3 linked regions of the Solanum lycopersicum genome follow. The protein of the gene in region 3 interacts with the protein of the main gene of each other region in a pairwise test. Links are inferred from orthologs where the notes say so. Each region holds a gene or a part of one and is shown on either strand. Other genes may lie near its edges. The genes, in order: scarecrow-like protein 23, thioredoxin reductase NTRC and B3 domain-containing transcription repressor VAL2.

What was found.
Region 1: the proteins of B3 domain-containing transcription repressor VAL2 (region 3) and scarecrow-like protein 23 interact in binary tests that used the Arabidopsis thaliana proteins (3 or more experiments, as listed by UniProt). The link is inferred for Solanum lycopersicum from reciprocal best matches to the Arabidopsis thaliana genes HSL1 and AT5G41920.
Region 2: the proteins of B3 domain-containing transcription repressor VAL2 (region 3) and thioredoxin reductase NTRC interact in binary tests that used the Arabidopsis thaliana proteins (3 or more experiments, as listed by UniProt). The link is inferred for Solanum lycopersicum from reciprocal best matches to the Arabidopsis thaliana genes HSL1 and NTRC.

Annotation. Positions count from the first base shown.
Region 1 is NC_090806.1:59,132,717-59,136,227, forward strand, and holds scarecrow-like protein 23, read right to left. Parts: upstream 2,459-3,511; 5' UTR 2,167-2,458; coding exon 862-2,166; 3' UTR 652-861; downstream 1-651. UniProt on the Arabidopsis thaliana protein: Probable transcription factor involved in plant development.
Region 2 is NC_090809.1:60,629,996-60,633,752, forward strand, and holds the start of thioredoxin reductase NTRC, read right to left. Parts: upstream 2,400-3,757; 5' UTR 2,118-2,399; coding exon 1,838-2,117; intron 1,554-1,837; coding exon 1,346-1,553; intron 1,238-1,345; coding exon 1,132-1,237; intron 1-1,131. Other genes in the region: zinc finger BED domain-containing protein DAYSLEEPER, read right to left, coding at 3,042-3,757. UniProt on the Arabidopsis thaliana protein: Thioredoxin reductase (TR) that exhibits both TR and thioredoxin (Trx) activities. Contains a C-terminal functional Trx domain.
Region 3 is NC_090809.1:57,733,559-57,737,315, reverse strand, and holds the start of B3 domain-containing transcription repressor VAL2, read right to left. Parts: upstream 2,460-3,757; 5' UTR 1,586-2,459; coding exon of another isoform or gene 1,564-1,585; coding exon 1,473-1,563; intron 1-1,472. UniProt on the Arabidopsis thaliana protein: Transcriptional repressor of gene expression involved in embryonic pathways, such as LEC1, ABI3, and FUS3. Repressor of the sugar-inducible genes involved in the seed maturation program in seedlings.

The sequences.
Region 1 (3,511 bases), on a different chromosome or scaffold from region 3:
CAAAATAATTACATTTTTGACATTTTAACTAAAATTTTTACAGTAATGAGTTTTTTACTAATTAAGTTGTTAATTTTGACTAGTTTGCTAATTTTTCCAAAAATAATTATTTCATTCTCAATTTATGTGACATTTTCAGATTTCAAGATTTGAATAAGTCTAGCTTTTAATGTTTTGAATTATTATTTATTATGACTTATAATAATTATTCTGTAGTTTATAAATATATAAATTCATTTTTAAAAATTTGAAAATTTATACGTAAAATTTTGATTAAATTTAAACTATTTGACTATCAAAAAATAAAAAGTTTCGCATAAATTGAAAAAATGTTTTTGCTCTCAATCTCTCCAACAGAGTGAACTACACACTCTATAGCATTTAGAGAGTGAATAACTCCATTTTAAAATAGCCTAGAAGGTAATGTAACTCCGTGACATATGAGTATCCAATTGAAAATCTGACTATAAATTGAAAGATTTTAGAGCATTTTCTCAAAGTTATTTTGGTCGAACTTTTAGTTTTTAGCCATCATAAAATATATCTTTAATTTAAAATATTTTTTAAGGAAATGTAAGGTCTAATAGAGAGGATGTAACAGACAAAATAGAATCTTCCACCACAATTATTTAGTAAAGAAAAGGACAAGAATTCTTTAATCCAATGCAATTACTATTTTTCTTAAAAGAACAAAATTTTCAAGAATGATAAACACAAATACATATGTGTAGGGGCCTCCTCAGAATTAGGACCAGAGTGAACAAAGAGCACTTTCACTTATTAGTATGTCCAATTTGTTATGGTATTTGTAACATCATCCAAAACTTACAAATTGAAACAACAACCAAAAAATGGGCTATCTTAATCGCAAGGTTGCCATGCAGATGCAGTCAACAACGATAAATCCTTCCATCCCAATTTTAAACACCCATTTTCTTCCACCAACGTATACCCTCTCGGAAACATCCCTAATAATAAACTTGCTTGAGCAGCTGGAGTACCCGATAATGAAACGGGTAAAAACCCGATTCGTTTCAATTCATCGCCCCATCTCTCTACGGGTACTTCCCCCGTCCTCTTGGGCCCACCTACCGCTACAATATTCCTAATTTCGCTACCGAACAACTGCTGTTCCACTCTATGCCTCTCTGCACTCTCTTCACTCAATCCATCCCCCAATGCATCAAACAAGGCGGAGTAATAATGCAATGCCTCAACGAATCGGCTCAAAAAGTTTCCTCCGTGACTCAGATCTTGTTCAACCAGTGTGATCAATTTCGGCCTTAACAAAGTTAACAATCGGAAAGTACCTAAATCACTCCCTGTGATATTGTAGAGGCAATGGTGCATCCAATTGACAACGGTAGTTTCCCCAATTTTGACTCCGAGTTGATTCAGGTCTGTGATGTGTCCGATTTTGCCTTCAAAAGGTTGAAACTCGAACGGAAGTCCGAATGAGTTGGCGAATTCGGTGAGTCGACGGCCGGTGGATTCGAGTAATTCCATGGAGGATCCGACGCCGGTGATTCTGATGGAACGGAGCTTTCTCGATCGAGAGGAGAGGATTTGGAACAATCCTGGCCATTGAAGACCTTGCATGATGTCGAGATCGATGACGTGGACGTGATCTTCACCTTCTAATGCTTGGTAGATAGCTTGATTTGCAGTGTAGTGAGAGAATTTGATGAGCGGACTTATTGTGTTGTAAGATTGCAGAGCGGTGAAGAGTTTTTGGGAATGCGTGAGAGTTAGGGATTTGAGGTTAAGCGGAGAATAAAATCGGAGATGAGAACTGATAATTCTGGCCGATAGAGATTCAGCGAAGTAAGCAGCGACTCGCTCAGCTGATGAGCCGAACGGCGAAGAAAGCTCAGCGATTTCCGGCAATAAATCAGCAGCTTCATCGAGATTCTCCATGGCAACAAACTCAGCGCATTGAAGGAGCAAGCCGAGAAGGCGAAGACCTATGGAATCGGCGTCAACGAGAAGTAACTCCTCACCTTCTTCTTCCTCTTCCTCTCCCCTTTCATTTCGGGGCCGTTTAGTAAGAAGTTGAGGTTCATCTGAGACCGGAGTAAACTCAGAAATTGAGCGCTTAGAAGACATGGAAGATGAATACGAAGATGTATGATTAATTGGAATTGCAGATACGAAAAGCATGATCATTCATCACATCACATGGCAAAGAATGTAGAATAAAAAAATGAGTGGTGAGGATAATTGAAAGGGGGATTTGTGAAAAAAAAGGGTGATGACTTTTTGGAATTATTCATCTTTTGTAGGACACATTGAAGTGAGGTTTTTGTATTTTTGTGTTTGAATTTTTCCTCAATCATAAAAATACTATACTCCTATTAATAATACTAGTACTACCATTATTATAATCCCTCATTCATCGTTATAAATATATTCACATCTCTTCCAAGGGAAAAAACATAGTTTCCTTGGAAATAAATGTTCTCCCTCTTGATTATTAGGTGTTTTAAATAAATTTACTTTTTTTTTTGGGTTAATTTTAGAGTAATATTTAACCTTAATATAGGAAATTCAAGAAACAAAAAAATGTTAGCGAATCGGTTTATATTTACTCAAAAACATAGAAGAATTCATAATAGAATTTCGAGTGAAGCAATTTTATCAAATTTAAAGGAGGCATCACATATTTGAAAACTAGTTGTACAATCAGTCAATTTCAAACAACTTTTTTTTTTCATCAACTATTTGAAATTTATGATGACGAATGCTTTAGGTTATCAAATTTATATCAATTTATACTGAATTGTCCCCAAATAACATTTTTTAAACAAATCAGAGCTAATTCAAATTGCTCAATTGTAAAAGATCTGCTACCGAATGAATAAAATAGTGAATTAGAGATGGACTGAGTAACTTAAGTTTGAACCGTGCTAAGCTACTTCTAAATTCATTTTTTTATTTTATGTTAAGGGATTTATGTTTTTGATATATAAAAAACAATTTTAGTTTATTTTCTAATATATTTTTCTCATAAAGGAATTCAATTGAATTATGACCTTTAGGATCATATAACTCTGCCACAATGTGGACAAGTCATGAACCCCACATGATGAATAATAATCTCCTGTATTTTTTATTTTTTGAATTATGAATTTACAAACATATTAAGAAAACATTAATTTAGATAGTGAATTCATCTTACCCATATTAATAGATAAAATCTCAAATATATTATCCACTACACTTTTCAAAAATATTAAGTCTATGTAAACAAGTAAAATTATCTTTTTATTTTTTTAAAAAAAAAGATACTAAATTAGAAAATATTTAATAAATAAATCGTAAGAATGAAGTGTAAAGTTGCTGAAAATTTTGTAAAGAAATGCTTGTAGTAGCTTGTCACGTCTGTTTCGATACTCCATTTTGCAAACAAATATAATACAGTAGTTATCATGTTACTCCAAGTAGCTTCAATGCCCCACGTTGCTTTGTCACTATTATTTTACCCAAAGGGAAAAAGTATGGCAAGCTTGAT
Region 2 (3,757 bases), about 2.9 Mb from region 3:
AAATAAAGAAGTGAGCAGTGATCCAATATATGAAGCCTAATGTGGGAACTACATACCAAGGGGAGTAAGACAACTAGAAGTTTAAGGAATTAATTTGGCATCTGCGACTGCAAGAACTAATGCATTTCAAGCCCAACATCTCTTACAACATATGAAACAAACACGCCCTTCCCTTTTGTTATTGCAGAGGGAATCAAAAGAGTGCCGGTACCACAAATATGGATGTATGTTTCATGACCATCTCATGTATCAGATGAACCTCAGAGAATTGAGGGATTATAGACGGAAAACAAAATCGAAGATGCTTCTTTCATTCATAAGGTACAGAGAACACGTCAGACTCTTATATCATGGCTAAGGTACTCTGAAGATATAGATTGTTCTTTACACAATGCAGCAAATTGATCTTTCTAAAAAATGCAGCAAATTGTGAGGCCTCTTGTTCTACCATGTCAGCATCTTTTACATCTCATAAAGGAAAGAGATACTAAAAAAATAGAAAACGACTTGTATACTTGTACTTAATCAAACCACTTCCGAATGGAAAACACGTAAACCCATAAAGAAGTCCCGGTGTAGTTAAAATGTCTCTGTACTTTGAAAAGAATTATTTTTATTGGAAAGAAAATGTTTCTGTCTAGAAGAATAAGAAAACCCAGAAAGTACGAGCTTAGATGCCTTCTATGTAATAGCATAATATATTTTTTATCCAAGAAAAGGAAAAATGTTGAATCTATTTCTCTTCTTCCATTACACGTCTGAAATCTGTTTAGCTTTTCAGTTCTCACTCCAAATGAGAATACATACGTTTATATCTAACTTCCTGTAATTTTCTGGGCACTGTTTTGAGAACATATTGCAAACTTGACAAAAATACATGAACTGTTAAATAGTTCAAAAGTGACACTCAAGAAAAGAAAAAAAGATTGCTGGGGTCTTGATAAATGATGGCCATCCTTATATTCTTTACCCCATAAAATTTGTTAAAACATCAGATATTAGAATTGTTCTTGCGTGGAATTTTAAAAGATGCTCCAATTCAGAATAGGCAAACAGTTTGATGGGGATTAAAGATTTAAGCAGTTATAACATAACCTAGACAAAGTAATCAGCAACTAAAGGATGCATCACCTTACGTTCACTACTGTGGACAGTAAAGGGAGCATTCTTTACATCAATAAATTCCACATCTTCCTGATACAATTCAGCTCCCCATCTCTCAGCTTGTCGCCTCATCCTACCAAAATTACATAATTTCTCAGCCTTCAACAAAACTTTTGTCTATAAAAGGAAACTTCAAATAGATATCTTAATGAGAGTAAATGCTCAAAAACTTTTCTTATACCTATCCATTAAGTCAGGTCCAGTTATCCCCTCAGGAAATCCAGGAAAGTTTTCTACTTCAGTTGTTGTCATCAACTGTCCTCCTGGCACACCACCAGCTTGAAACCCCTCAAACACTACAGGCTTCAAATTAGCCCGAGCTGCATAAATTGCTGCTGTATATCCAGCAGGACCTGATCCTATTATTACCAAGTTTTCAATACCCTGAGCTGGAACAAACAAAAACACCAGTATTCTCAAAATTATACAACTAATTGCATATAAACTGCTGACAAATGAGCTATTTCCAGCTGCAAAATCAACCCAAAAGAGCAATTTCCAGCTGCAAAATTAACCAGCATCATTTTATATTTCAAATGCAATTCCGAATTTCGATAATACTTATGCTCGACTTCAATTCAATCAACTAACATACCACTCCTAATTCACTTAATTGACTAAAACAAATTTAAAAAATACACTATTTATTCAGAAATGCACACTGTAAGTCTACCTGAAGAACTAGTTCCGACCGGTTCCACCTCCGCCGCAGCTCGAATCGAAAACGAGGACGCACGGCTGCGAGTCAAGTGACCATTAACTGAGTCAACTCGAGCAGCTCCTCCCCGTCGACTCGTACCGGAGTTGATAACGAGCAAACCGGTCGGAATGCAGTGACCGGTCGATAAAGCCGCCGGAGTAGCCGCCATGGAAGTGGATGCGGGTCGGATTTTGGTCCGGATTCGGATTCCGATACCAACGGAGTTTGTAATATTGGGAGTAGTATTAGCCATTGGTTTCGGAACGTAGATATCTCTACAGCTGACACAAATTTGTTTCAACTAACTATTTTCCCTTTTCTCTCTCACACACTTACACACACATCTGTGTGTTTTGTCTTTGGATTTGTGCCGTGTGTGTGAGATTTATTCGTAATTTTATGGGGTGAGGATAACCACTCAACGAACTATAATTTTTATTTTATTTTTTTCCAAAAAAAAAAAGAACTATATAAGTAATTTTATCAAAGTTCATTGTTTTTGGTCCTCTGAAGAAAAAATATTATCCAAACAACCAAATGATATTTTGTATTCAAAGTGTAATACATAGTTTTCCAGTGAGAAAATGTGTGGCAACAAGTTTGTCCAACATTAAGTATTGTTTGCTTTGTATTTTACTTATTGTTTGTCAAAAAATATAATTTTTCTGATAAATTTTAAAAGTTGCACTTCATTTTTCAGTGTCAAAAATTGAAAATTTTAAAGATAAATACACGATGTAAATTATTTGGATCATTGATTTCTAAGATAAATAAATTTAACCGGCGGATCAATAAGAAGCAATCTCTTTGCCACACAAAAATATTGTTAAGATCTTAATACATCCCACCGCCTCCAAACTACGAAGGGGAGACCAGAAAAGAAGACAAAACACAGAAGAATGAAAGAAAGTACAAGTCATTTGAGCAGCATAACTATACCAACATATTCATATCATGCACCAGTAAGCTGATTTTCATGCATTCAGAATTCAGACATCAATGAGTAAATAAAGAGACTGAAAATGGGGACTAAACTCTCCAGTAAGACTAGAGGTACCAAATTATGATACAAGAAAGTTGATTCTCAGACGACTCGACGAATGTTAATAGTCTTAAAGAAAACATCAATATGGCTAATAGAGCTATATTCTAGACAAGTATTTCACATAACCAAGACCTAAATCGGAACTTCCATTTTTATTGGTATAGGTGAAGTGTCTAAAGATGCATTCTGAAGCCAGTCCTTGGCACAGATGAGGGCCTCCACGGTCTCAGGACGCAAGGAACACCTGTAGTGATCCATCTCTTTGCTAACTGTGCTAAATATAGAATCAGCCGTTACTGTTGAAACAGGAACTGACAAGATGTCACGAGCCATTTTTGACAAAGTTGGGTACTTAATTCTGTTGAGCTTCCACCAACCCACCACATCAAACTCGTGAACACGAGGCAGCAAGGACTCTTCCAGATATTGATCAAGTTCTGACCTTGACTGCTGGCTCGAAGTCTCCATAATGTAGACGTCAAAATCAGTAAGTCCAAGCCCGTTACAAGAAGCGTCGAGGCCTTGTCCATCCTCCTGCCTCATACCACTGCCATTTACTTCTTCAACATAAGTTGGGGTTAGGGGTAGAGGAAGAGCCACATATTCATTGAAGAGCTCATGGATTCCTTCCTCAACAGTCTTCACATAAGCGGCTGCTTCTTCTCCATATATTTTGGAAAAACTGAACTCCACAAGTTTCATTTTGAAGCGTGGATCCATTACTACAGCAATAGCCAACATTAAGCAACAGCTCTTCCAATAATTATCAAACATCTCTTGCATCATTTTGGTAAGTCTGCTGGTGAATGGGTCTTCACTTGCTGCAGCACGAGCCAATTCCAATTGAA
Region 3 (3,757 bases):
GTCTACACTAGAAGCGTTCCAGATATAATTTCTCAAACTGGATGCCCTAAGACTCTGCATTAGTTTCAGTTTTCAGTTTATGGTGAAACTGTCATTAGCTACATTTTATTCCAAAGTTAAAGTGAATGTTTTTCCTTTCGGCAATGCAGGCGGTAGATTGCAAAAGATCTAAGTTTATCATGAATTTAACTACCAGTCATCTATCCTGACCAAGAAACAAAAGATAAACAGAAAAATAACAGAAGTAAAACAAACAAACAAAACAAAACAAAAGGGAAAAAAATAACAAATATTAATAATAAAATAGTTTCATTCCATCAGCACTGTATTATTTACTGTAAGTGAAATCACTGCATGCAATCTCTATTTCATATAAAGGCCAAAAAGAGCAAAAAAAGACAAAGTTGCTCCACAGTAACTTAACATGGAACCAAATAGACAATTCTGGAAAGAAAAAAAAAGTTATGCCATCACTTCAACACAGGGGCGGAGCCACCTTATCACTAGGGATTCATCCGAACCCCCTTCGGCGGAAAATTATATTATTGTTACATGGTTAAAATAAATTTTTAGGTATATACGATAGATGTCGAACCCCCTTCGGCTACTTCATGTGTTTATTTCTTCAGATTCTGAACCCCCTTATTAAAAATTCTGGCTCGCTTCAACGGCCTCACTTAGATCATAAGCCCATGCTCCTGATCTCAGCCAAGAAAAACCTCCCTATGACACAGCAAGAATCACAGATAATACAAATCCTTAGGAGAACGTAAGCAGGTTAATCTGCACTGACTTCCTAAAAGACAACAAGTGAAACAGAAAGAAGAAGGATTATCTTTCCCACATTTTGATCTTGCAGGATCTTTAATCTTTCCAGAACTAGAGTCAGTTTGAGCAACCATTACTAGGGTGCATGAACTGGACTAGGAACATATTATCCCAATAGAATTAATTCTCTCAAATTGAATATGCAATCTCTAATTTGAAAAGGTAAAGTAATTGTTTAGTCGAATTAAAGAACAGTCGGATAAAAGAACATGATTTAGCAAATATCTTTCAGCAAAACAAAAAGGATAATTCTCCGAGCTGCTACAGTATTCACCAACACAGTAACCTTAACATAAACACAGAAACTGTTCAGATTGTAAATACTTCTTCCGTTTCAAAAAAGAACAATCAGCTCAATAAACAAATTTCAAACCATCTCAATTAGTAGGACATTGATTCCTTAATCTTTTCTCGAATAAAATAAGCAAATTCAAAACCTATACAAAGAGTATATAAGTCAGAACATTTTTACAATGAAAAATCACTGTTTGACATTCTAAATGGTAATGTTATCATATAAAATGATCAAACAGAGTTGAGCACTAGGCAAACCAGTTTCTACAAAACAAAAAGAACAACAAAACTGAATTTACAAACATATATAAATTAAGTATAAAGAGAGAGTGAGATCTGAATTGAATTACCCGCACTTATCACAGAGGGTCGCAAATTCACCAGATCGCAAAGGCCACCCTTTTTTCCACTCAATTGAAGAAGTTGTCCCACACAGTCCATTCATGCAAATCTTCGACTCCATTCCTAAAATCCTTACCTCTAATCAAGCCCTAATACAGCATAATCTTCCTCTTAATACTCCATACGCAAAACCCAAAAAAAAAAAAGTTTTTTTTTAAAGCTAAAAATGAAGTCTTTAGAAAAACCCAAGTATGAAATAGTTGAATAATAAGTGTGAAGCAAGAATCTTGAAAACAAAAGTTAAAGACATAAAACTAAAGCTAGTAAGCTGCAGTGTTTGTGGGTCTGTTTTAAAATTTGTGATAGAGAAATATTAGGGAAGTTTGTTGAATTTCCGGTACCGGAACGGTGGAATTGGGAGAGAGAGAGAAGCGTAAAGTGTAAAACAGTTCAAAAATGGAAAAGGGGACATGCAGGGAGGGAGAGACTTGAAGGGTCAGCAAAGGTCGCCCGCCTTTCTCTTTCAGTTCTTCTTCCACTAACGTCTCTCTCTGCTCAATTTCTTTTTCACTTTATCATATCAGCTTTTCTTTTGAACATTGAAAAGAAAGCTTATGTTTATATAATTTGATCAAAAACATACAAGTTTTGTGACTAAATGCAAAGTAATAGTTAAGACCAACTATGTTGTAACCTCTCTCGTTGTTCTAGAAGAGATAGGATTAAAATAGGTACATTTGGAAGTGGCTTTGGTGCGGAAGTTAAAGATCGAGATAATTTTGAACATTTGAAAGTGATATGTTTTGATGTTCTAGTGTGGATGTGTGAGTGATTGGCTATAGATAATTTATATAAACAGAGATAAAACGAGAAAATAGTAGAAATGAATGTGTATGAATGGACGTGTGTTGATGAGGGCTGGAAATAGATGCTTAGGATCTTACGTAGAAAGATTAGGGAGGACACAAATTAGGATAGAAAATTAGAAGGTCATCGTGTGTTGTTTTATCATCTGTTCATATTAGTAGTTAGTGTTGCACTCGTAATTTCTAGTTCTTTGATTTTTATTACTTATTATCTTATATTTTTGGTCATCACATGATTCAATTATAATCATTGTCTTGTTACCATTAGTTATCTTGTTTGTATAATATTTCATGTACTTTAATCCATAATAATATCTCTATTTTTAGGTAAAAGATGATACATGCATACATTATATCTTTTCTAGAATCTCCGTTGTTGTTGTTATTAGTGTAGAGAAGTTTTGTGTGTGAAAGAAAATAACTTGAAAAAATAGTAATAATCAACTTTTCACAATTTAAAATCGATTAGAAAATAACTCCCCTTAAAAAGTAAGTACGAAATTTGAAAGCTTTACAAAGGGGTCTTAAACGGGTTTTTTAATGAAAGCTCTACAAAAGGGTCTTAAACGAGTTTTTTAATAAAAAAAGTGTTTTGTACATTTTTCTCTAAATTTGATTTATTTTTCTTTTTAGTTACCTCAAACAAGAATGACATGTTTATATAGCAAGTAACAATTTAACATTAAAATATTTATTTTACTTTTTATAAAATAACTTATAACAACACAAATATCTACTCTCTTCGTTAAAAAAAGGATATTAACGAAAAGGATGACCTAGTTTGACTTATAATGAAATTTAAGAAAAGAAAGAAGACTTGTTAATCTTGTGGTTCTAAATTAAAGTTATGTCAAATATATCAAAATGTTCTTTAATCTTGTGGTCTTAAATATGTCACATGGAAAGTTAAAGTTAAATTATTGTAAAAAAAAAAACGAAACATTCTTTTTTAAACAGATTAAGAAGAAAATAAAATCTTTTTTTTTTAAACACAAGAAATATCACTTATCTCAAATAAATTTCAAAAGTTTTCTTTTCATTTAAAAATTTTCTACCGATTCGAACTAACTCATATAAAATAAAATAAAAAACGGTGCAATAAAACAAATGGCTCATTTAGGAAGTGGGAGTCCTAATCAAAAGGACAAAAATCCACTTTGCTTTTCAAGTATGGTTCTTTTGGCTTAGTGTGTACGATAAGATTAGAACTAAGATTAATCATCATTGCGTAATTAAACAGATAAGTAAACAAATCAAAATTAGTTTATTCAATCCCCTAATTGATTACTTCTTCTACGCGTGCTATATCCTAATACTACAATGACATCATGCTTATCAAATCTTTAACCAAAAACCATTAACTAAAAAATTAGGTGATGAGGGGTGAGTGACTGACATTACTTTTTTTTTTCCCTATATGTAACAAA